Linked DNA regions of Coturnix japonica. The protein of the gene in region 2 interacts with the protein of the main gene of each other region in a biochemical or structural test. Links are inferred from orthologs where the notes say so. Each region holds a gene or a part of one and is shown on either strand. Other genes may lie near its edges.

Region 1 (3,748 bases), on a different chromosome or scaffold from region 2:
GCCACCTTAGGCTGGGCCACAATAGACAGAAAGAGCCCAGCTGAGTCAGGGCCCGTAAGTACACTGCTCTCTGTTTTGCCACCAGCCCACAAGCGGGACCCTCTTGTGGTTCTCCAAGCTGAGCAGCCTGCACAGCTCCCACCAGGCCCAGCATCACGCTGTGTGCCACATCAACACCTTTCCTAAACCCTTCTGCTGGCTGACATGGAGCTAAGCAAGAGGATTACGGCTCTCCTCCAAGATCCACAATCTAATTAAGTGTATCCCATCTCTGATCTGATGTGATTATCATCCTGTAGACTACACACAGACAAAGCACAGGGGGCTTGTCAGGAGCTGGCACAGCTTCTCCTGTACCCTGCACAGCTTGGCTACATGGTCCCAGAAGGAGATGAGACCCACACAGGTGTCCCCCTGAAACACCCTCAGCTGTGGGGAATGCAAGTTTAATGAGAGACGCTGCTGGACTTGGTGGCAAGGCTACAGCCATGTGTTAGCAGAGGAGGCGCCTCTGGAAACCCTGTCCTGGATCTGGACTCAGTCAGGAGATGCTCTCAAACATCCCTGACAGCCTCCAAGAGATTTCCAGGCTGGAAAAAGAGGAGTTTGTAGAGAACAGAGGGTTTGCAATCTTCCCCCCACACCCACCTAATCCTCCTTGGTACCACCAGGCCAGAACATGGGCCTGAGCTCTCACCTGAAAAACATCTCCATTGACAGTGGCTCCTCCATTCTGGAAACCAGCTAGAAAAAATAAGGAAGAAAAACACAACTGTGACAACTGAAATGATCCTGGAGGAGCTGGGGTTCACGAGACAGAAACAAGCCAGTTCTTTGGGGATGCAGATGTGCCATTCCCAACCCAATACTACTATCCACAACAGACTCACATATATGGGTCCCAGACTAAAGATCCTATGCTGGTCCAAGTAATGGACATCAGCAGAGCTGTGTGCTGGTGTGCTGGAGCTCAAGTTAGGGCTAGCAAGGTTTCAGTATCCAGAGGAGGACACATTCCCAACATACTTGTCCCTGTCCAGTTGTAGCAGGACCCCAGATCCCCTTTGCTTCATACAGACTGTTCAGGAAAGCGATGGGAAGAGGACAGTGTGCTGCTCTACAGTCCAGAGCCATTAACACAACAAACCCTCCCCGAGCTGCTGCTGCAGAGAATGCGTGGGGACTCCTGCCATTCCTGAGGCAGGATCTGGGCCAGGCTGTGGCCTCCCGTCCTTGGAGGGATTCAGCCAGCACCTCTTTCCCAGACAAAACTTCCAGGGCACTCTATGTCTTTATAGTGTTTGCACTGCTTTTTCTTTTTAATCTTTTCTGAAGATTAGGGAAACTCCCCCAGGCACAGGGCTGGACATCATGCTCTGGCTGTAAGAAAACAACCAACTTCAGCTCTGTAAAAGGCAGCAGCTGCCTCCCTCAGCACACAGATGGGTGACCCAGAAGCTGTCAGCCAAGTGCCCAGCAGAGGCAGAGCTGCTCTATGCCTGCGACAGGAATGCAGCACCGCCAGGGACAAAGCTCACAGCAACAGTGCAGCACAATCCTTCTCCCTCTCAGCCCCAAGAGCTGCATACTGATGCCTTGCATGTGGCCCTCTGCCACTGGGTAAAGAAGCTTTGATGAAAGACTTCAGGCCCTGAGCTCTCTCCAATGATGACCATGCTCAAACACGGGGCCTCTGCTGGCCTGCTGGCACATACAGCCATAGCACTAGAGTACCTCAAGGTAGCACTGTCCCCACGGTGCTCACCCCGCAGCTTCAACTACATCCAGCTCCATGACTGCATTTAGCATGGAGGCTGGCAGCAGCTCCCTAGGCCCAGATCTGACTCTGTAAGTAGAGCTGAAACCACCATTCTACAGACAGGCCAAAGAGGCCCTGGGGGCCTCCCTGCATTGCGGGCAGAAGCAAGAGGACAGTGTTGTATCTCTGTCCTTGCGGATAACAGACCACTGAGCTCCTATTATCTACTGAAGCCCCTAAAAGCAGGGCTGGGGCTCATATGGAGGCTTGAGATCAGGATTAATGCCTTCTACCTGCTGGGCCTAGGACCGTGATGTTCACAATGGAAACGCCTTCCATTTTACACCCCAAAGCGCTCTCCTGCCTATGAGTGCAGCCATGAGGCCACCCAGCCGAACACGGATGTCTCATCCCACCTCAGCGACCCCCCAACCTCGGGGGAACCTCGAATACACCGGAGGGCCCCCCCACCCTTTGGTGGGGCAAAGCCCCGGGGCCCAGCCCCCCTTTATACCCCATCTCCCACCCCGTGCTCACGGCGGAGGCCCCGCCCGGTGCTGCTCGGCGCTCACCCGGCTCCGTTGGGGCGCCCTGCCCTGCGGGGGCGGAGGCCGAGTCTCCGTCGTTGGGCCCGAAGCCTTCGTCGTTCTCGATGCCCGCGATCTCACTTTCCTGCTGGGCCAGGAAGGCGGCGGCCGGATCCTCCTCGGTCCCGGCGCCCTCGGACGAGGAGAAGAAGCCGAAGTCGTCGGCCATGACCCGCCCGCTCGGTTCGGCCCGGCCGGAGCTGTCACTGCGGCGGCGGCGGGCGGGGCCACGGCGCTGACATCACGGAGGGGCGGCCCCGTTTCCCTCCTCCCCTTTCCCCCCTCCCACAACTCAGCATCATCTCATCGCCCCTCACGCTGTAGGAGCTGGGGCTGCCATTATAGTGCCCGCACTCTGTGCCGGCCGAGGGGTCGGCTGGGCTCTGAACACTCGGGGCACACACCGCTGGCGGCCGCCATCTTGGAGCGGGCTCCGCCTCCGCCATCTTGGGTGGGGCCACCGCCCGCGGGCTGTTGAGCGGGTGTTACCGGCCATCTCCGGAAATAGCCGAATGGCTCCTTCGGGAATCTTCGTGCGCCAATAGGGAGGATCGAGCACGCGGTCACTGTGAATGGAGTTCGGCTATTTCCGGACAGCTCCGAGAGTGCTTCGGCAATCTCCGGAAAGTACTCGTACATTTCCGGTCACGATCGACGAACGGCAGCCGGCCGCTCAGCCGAGCGGAAGTGCGAGCGGGCTGCGTCACTTCCGGTGGGTGACGGAGCGGCGGGTCAGAGGCGGAGGAAAATGGCGGCGCCTGAGGAGCGGGAGCTGACGGCGGAACAGACCGAGAAGCTGCTACAATTCCAGGTGCTGTGCAGGGGACACCGGCCCGTCCTGCCGCCTCCGGGCTGCTGCCGGCCTGCGTTAGGGCTGGGGGTTCATACGGGCCCTGCCTGGAGAGAGTGCGGCTGTACCGGGGTGCGGGGCCCAGGCTGGGCTGGAGGCGAGAGGGGAGCGGCCTGTGCTCGGTGTCCCGGTGTTCGGTACGGGACAAGTGTGAGACTCCATTGGGGATGTGTTAGTCCGGGGCTTTGTTCAGGGCTGTGCCCTCAGTGCTTCGTTAGCAAGGCAGGAAATGAGCGCTGAGTGAACACAGGCCCGGCCGTTTGAATCAGGTGAGCTGCAAACGGCCCTTTGTTCATAGCGGGGAGTGACGAGGCCTTCCTGGCACAGTCAATTAGTCCGTGAGTTTCTATGGAGTCCAGCCCATGAACCAGCCGTATCTCACACATCCAGTGTGGTGCTGTCCGCTGGGGATTGCGGTGATCTCATCCCACTGCATGACGTGAGCTAGTCCCAACCTCTGCTCTGCAGGGGACCCAAAAGAGGCAACTGACAGATGTGTTTGTTGGGGTGAAAACTGCCCTAAAGCTGAACTGCTGCGGCTGCTCGGGGGAA
Region 2 (3,397 bases):
GCTAGGGCTAGACTGATGGTCCTGAGGTTTAAACTTAGCATTCCTGGCTAATCAGTATTTCCCTGATGAAAGGTACTGCCAAGAGAGTCAGGATGACATCAGCCTCTCAGCAAACACACCTTTATCACCACCTATAAATAGAGTAGAAACTGCTGCAGGAAGCATTTCCTTGTAGGTAGAGAACAGGTTGCAGAAACGAAACCAAGCGCAGTGCTGGGCTGCTGTGTGTGTGGCACCCAATGGCTGCTCATAACCCTGCACTGAGGTTTGTGGTGCAGAACTGGGAAGGTTTGGCTCACCTTCTGTATACAGATATGTATTTGTTAGTATTGCCAGGTGGTGGGGTCACCATCCCTAGGGGTGCTGAGGGATGGGGGTCAGTGTGTGGGGATGGGCTGGGGTTTGGACTTGGTGCTCTCAGAGGCCTTTTCAAAGCCCTGTGATGCTACAACTCCACTCACCCTTGGCTCCCAGCAGCATCCCCAGCCCCCTGCTCTCCTGTAGCCCTTCATCTTGAAGCCCCACGCCCTTAGTGCCAACAATGCTGCTGACAGAGCACTGCACACAGTTTAAATATTGCTGCTTTAATAATCTACATCCAGTAGCAGTTCAAAGAGAAGATGAGCCAGCTGTGTTTCCTCTGCCCCCCCTTGTCTCCTCACATCAGTTTCCTTATTGCTGCAGAATTCGCCACATCTAACGGCCCTGGGCTCCTGCAGGCCACATTTACATTTAATTCTGCTAATCATCTTAAATATAAAACATAATGCAACTGCTCCTCTGCTGTTGCTGTAGTAATAAAACATAGAAAAGGAAATAAAAAGATGCTTGTATCCTTATTGCCAGTGTGTGCCAGGAACTGCTTTCTCCCTTCTGAAAGCCCAGTTAAAGAGACGTTCCCCTCTTTGCTGAGAGCTGATCCCACACCAAAACGAGGTCAAAACACTCCAAGAAGGGGAAGTTAAATAAAAAATACAGGTGCAAGAAAAGCCCAACAGTTTCCTACTTCAAAAACAACTCGCGTTCTTCAGAAGGGTCCGAGCAGTGCAGTACAGCTACATTTACTGGAGGCCTCTAGTGCTGAGAGAGTTAAAAAACCCAAAATAAATCAACCCAAATAGGTCCCAAATTAAATTAAACCAAGCGAGCTGCGGGGCTGGGAGCCCAACTGCTCTATGGCCAGGGACTGAGGGGGAAAAAAATAGAACAAAAATCAAGTTTTTGGTTGAAAGAAAAAGAAAAATAATTCCAGTTTCTCAGGCCGGGCGAGGAGGAGAACCCCGCGCATGAAGGCACGCCAGAAGCAAGGCGATCTGTTTAAAACACAGATGTAAGAGCTCTGATGGCGGAGGCCTGGCCCCGTCCGTCCCACTAGAAGTTGACGGCGTGTGCCCGGTGCAGGCTGGTGTCACGCTCAGGCTGCAACGAGAGGGGACACAGCTCACAGCTCCTGTGGCACAGCCATGTCCCCAGCACCGTGCTCCCATCCTGCTGCCCCTACTACCTCCTCTCCTGGCCCTGGAAGGTGGCTGGGTTTCTGGGCGAGGGCCGGCTTCTTGAGGATGCCTCTCCTGGGGGCTGGTGCTGGCCGTGTCTCCCCATCCTCCTCTGCATTGTAGGGCCCAGCCAAGGCGTAGTGCTGCTTCCTCAGCTCACCCAGACGCACCCGTTCACCCTCAAGGCGCTTCTCCAGCTCCAGCACCTTCACCTGCACCACAAGAGCCCACCTGGGTCCTCACATCCCTGGTCTGCCTCAGGGACACGAGGCACTCAGAGAGAGGTGGTGGGTGGGCTGCATTTGGGCTCGGTGATCTTACAGCTCTTCCAACCTTACTGATTCTATGAGGCTTTACCTGTGTCTCCATTTCCTCCTTCTTCAGCTTGATGAGGGACATGCCCGAGAAGTCCATGGTGTCTGTGGAGAAAAGCAGGGAGTGTTTGCCAAGCCACAATGGAAATAGAGGGTTTTGGTTTTTCCTCCTCACCCTTTCCTTTCTGCTCTACCAAACCTCACCTTTATCCTCAATCTGCTCCTGCCCTGACCTGGTGGAGGCCACCACATTGGCTGCCATCTCATTGACGTTGCGGGAGCACTCCTGCAGCTTGCCCAAGTTCCTGCTGCTCTTCTCTGCTTTCACCTGTAACGAGCACTCTGATGGCTGCAGGTCCCCAAATGAGAACGGCCGATGCCAACAAAGCGGCCAAACCCTGCTGAGAGCAGGGACACATCGCACCAGGTGGATGTAAAAAGCAGGGAGCTCACCTTGGAGGCAGCCACCAGCTGGGCCGTGCTGGCAGCAATTTCATGGGAGCAGACGATCAGCTCTTCATATTTGCCTGTCTGCAGGACAACTCTGTCTGCGGACTCCCTGCAGTTGGAAGGGAGATCACGTTAGAGATGCACTACAAGTGTGGGGTACGTGCATCCCACCGTGCCCTTAGAAATCAGCACTGACTGAATCGGCTTTGAGTCATCATCAACTGATGGCATTCAGACATCAACATCCAAACGAACCCCACACTTTCCACTCTCACAGCTCAGGGATGTTGTGCCCTGACCCCAACCACCCCCAGCCCAGCTCTGTGTGTATGCGGTGCTGCGGTACCTACACGAGCTGTGTGGCTCCCCAGCCCACGGCCTTGGAGGCAGAGATCAGCCCTTCTGTCCAGCGGGAGTTCTTGGCATAAAACTCCTGAGTTGTTGCTGCCCCCTGTTGTTATGAGAATATTACAGCCTACTTTAACTTCTTTCCACTATGTATGCTTATAATAAATCCACAATCGAGCTGTAGGTGTCCCTGTTTTTTACAGGGGAGTTGGACTAGGTGACCTTTGTGGGTCCTTTCCAACTCAAACAGTTCTATGCTTCTATGGAACTATATAAAAATCCATACATCGTATTAAAAAAATCAATTAAAAATACCACATCTAGCAATACGGAACACTATATATAAACCCATAAGTCCAGGGACTGGCAGCACTTCTGTGCCCTTCAGGATGCTCTCACTGACTTGCTTAAACCCAAACATTACAAGCTTGGTGCTCCAAATTTGGCCTGGGTATAAAAAGTGCACAATTCAGCTGTGTTTTGTTTGTTTGTTTTTCTCCTACAAATTGTAGAAAATTCTGTATTTCACATCAAGAGCACAGAGATGAGTGGAAGGGAGGACTTACCCGGCCGCTCTCCACAATCTCCTTCTGTAAGTTCGTTGAGGTCATTACAAGAAGCCTAATAGCCTGGAATGGGGAAGAACAAGTTTAGGGGGCGGATGGGATTTTATACAGAAGGTCTGATTTTGCTAGTGGTTTTAAGTGATGTCTGTGTGGTTTCTGATCCCCTGAGAAGAAGCTCAGCTCTTGCAGCACTGACCTTCATTAAGTCCGTGCAGGAGTTCAG

Evidence for each region.
Region 1: the proteins of HIP1R (region 2) and CLTB form a complex in vitro, tested with the Homo sapiens proteins (2 studies listed by BioGRID). The link is inferred for Coturnix japonica from reciprocal best matches to the Homo sapiens genes HIP1R and CLTB.

Annotation. Positions count from the first base shown.
Region 1 is NC_029528.1:12,197,723-12,201,470, reverse strand, and holds the start of CLTB (clathrin light chain B), read right to left. Parts: upstream 2,597-3,748; 5' UTR 2,516-2,596; coding exon 2,332-2,515; intron 745-2,331; coding exon 698-744; intron 1-697. Other genes in the region: FAF2 (FAS-associated factor 2), read left to right, coding at 3,095-3,157. UniProt on the Homo sapiens protein: Clathrin is the major protein of the polyhedral coat of coated pits and vesicles.
Region 2 is NC_029530.1:4,488,004-4,491,400, forward strand, and holds the end of HIP1R (huntingtin-interacting protein 1-related protein), read right to left. Parts: coding exon 3,371-3,397; intron 3,238-3,370; coding exon 3,175-3,237; intron 2,712-3,174; coding exon 2,611-2,711; intron 2,370-2,610; coding exon 2,264-2,369; intron 2,139-2,263; coding exon 2,015-2,138; intron 1,916-2,014; coding exon 1,854-1,915; intron 1,709-1,853; coding exon 1,442-1,708; 3' UTR 1,420-1,441; coding exon of another isoform or gene 1,372-1,419; 3' UTR 564-1,371; downstream 1-563. UniProt on the Homo sapiens protein: Component of clathrin-coated pits and vesicles, that may link the endocytic machinery to the actin cytoskeleton. Binds 3-phosphoinositides (via ENTH domain).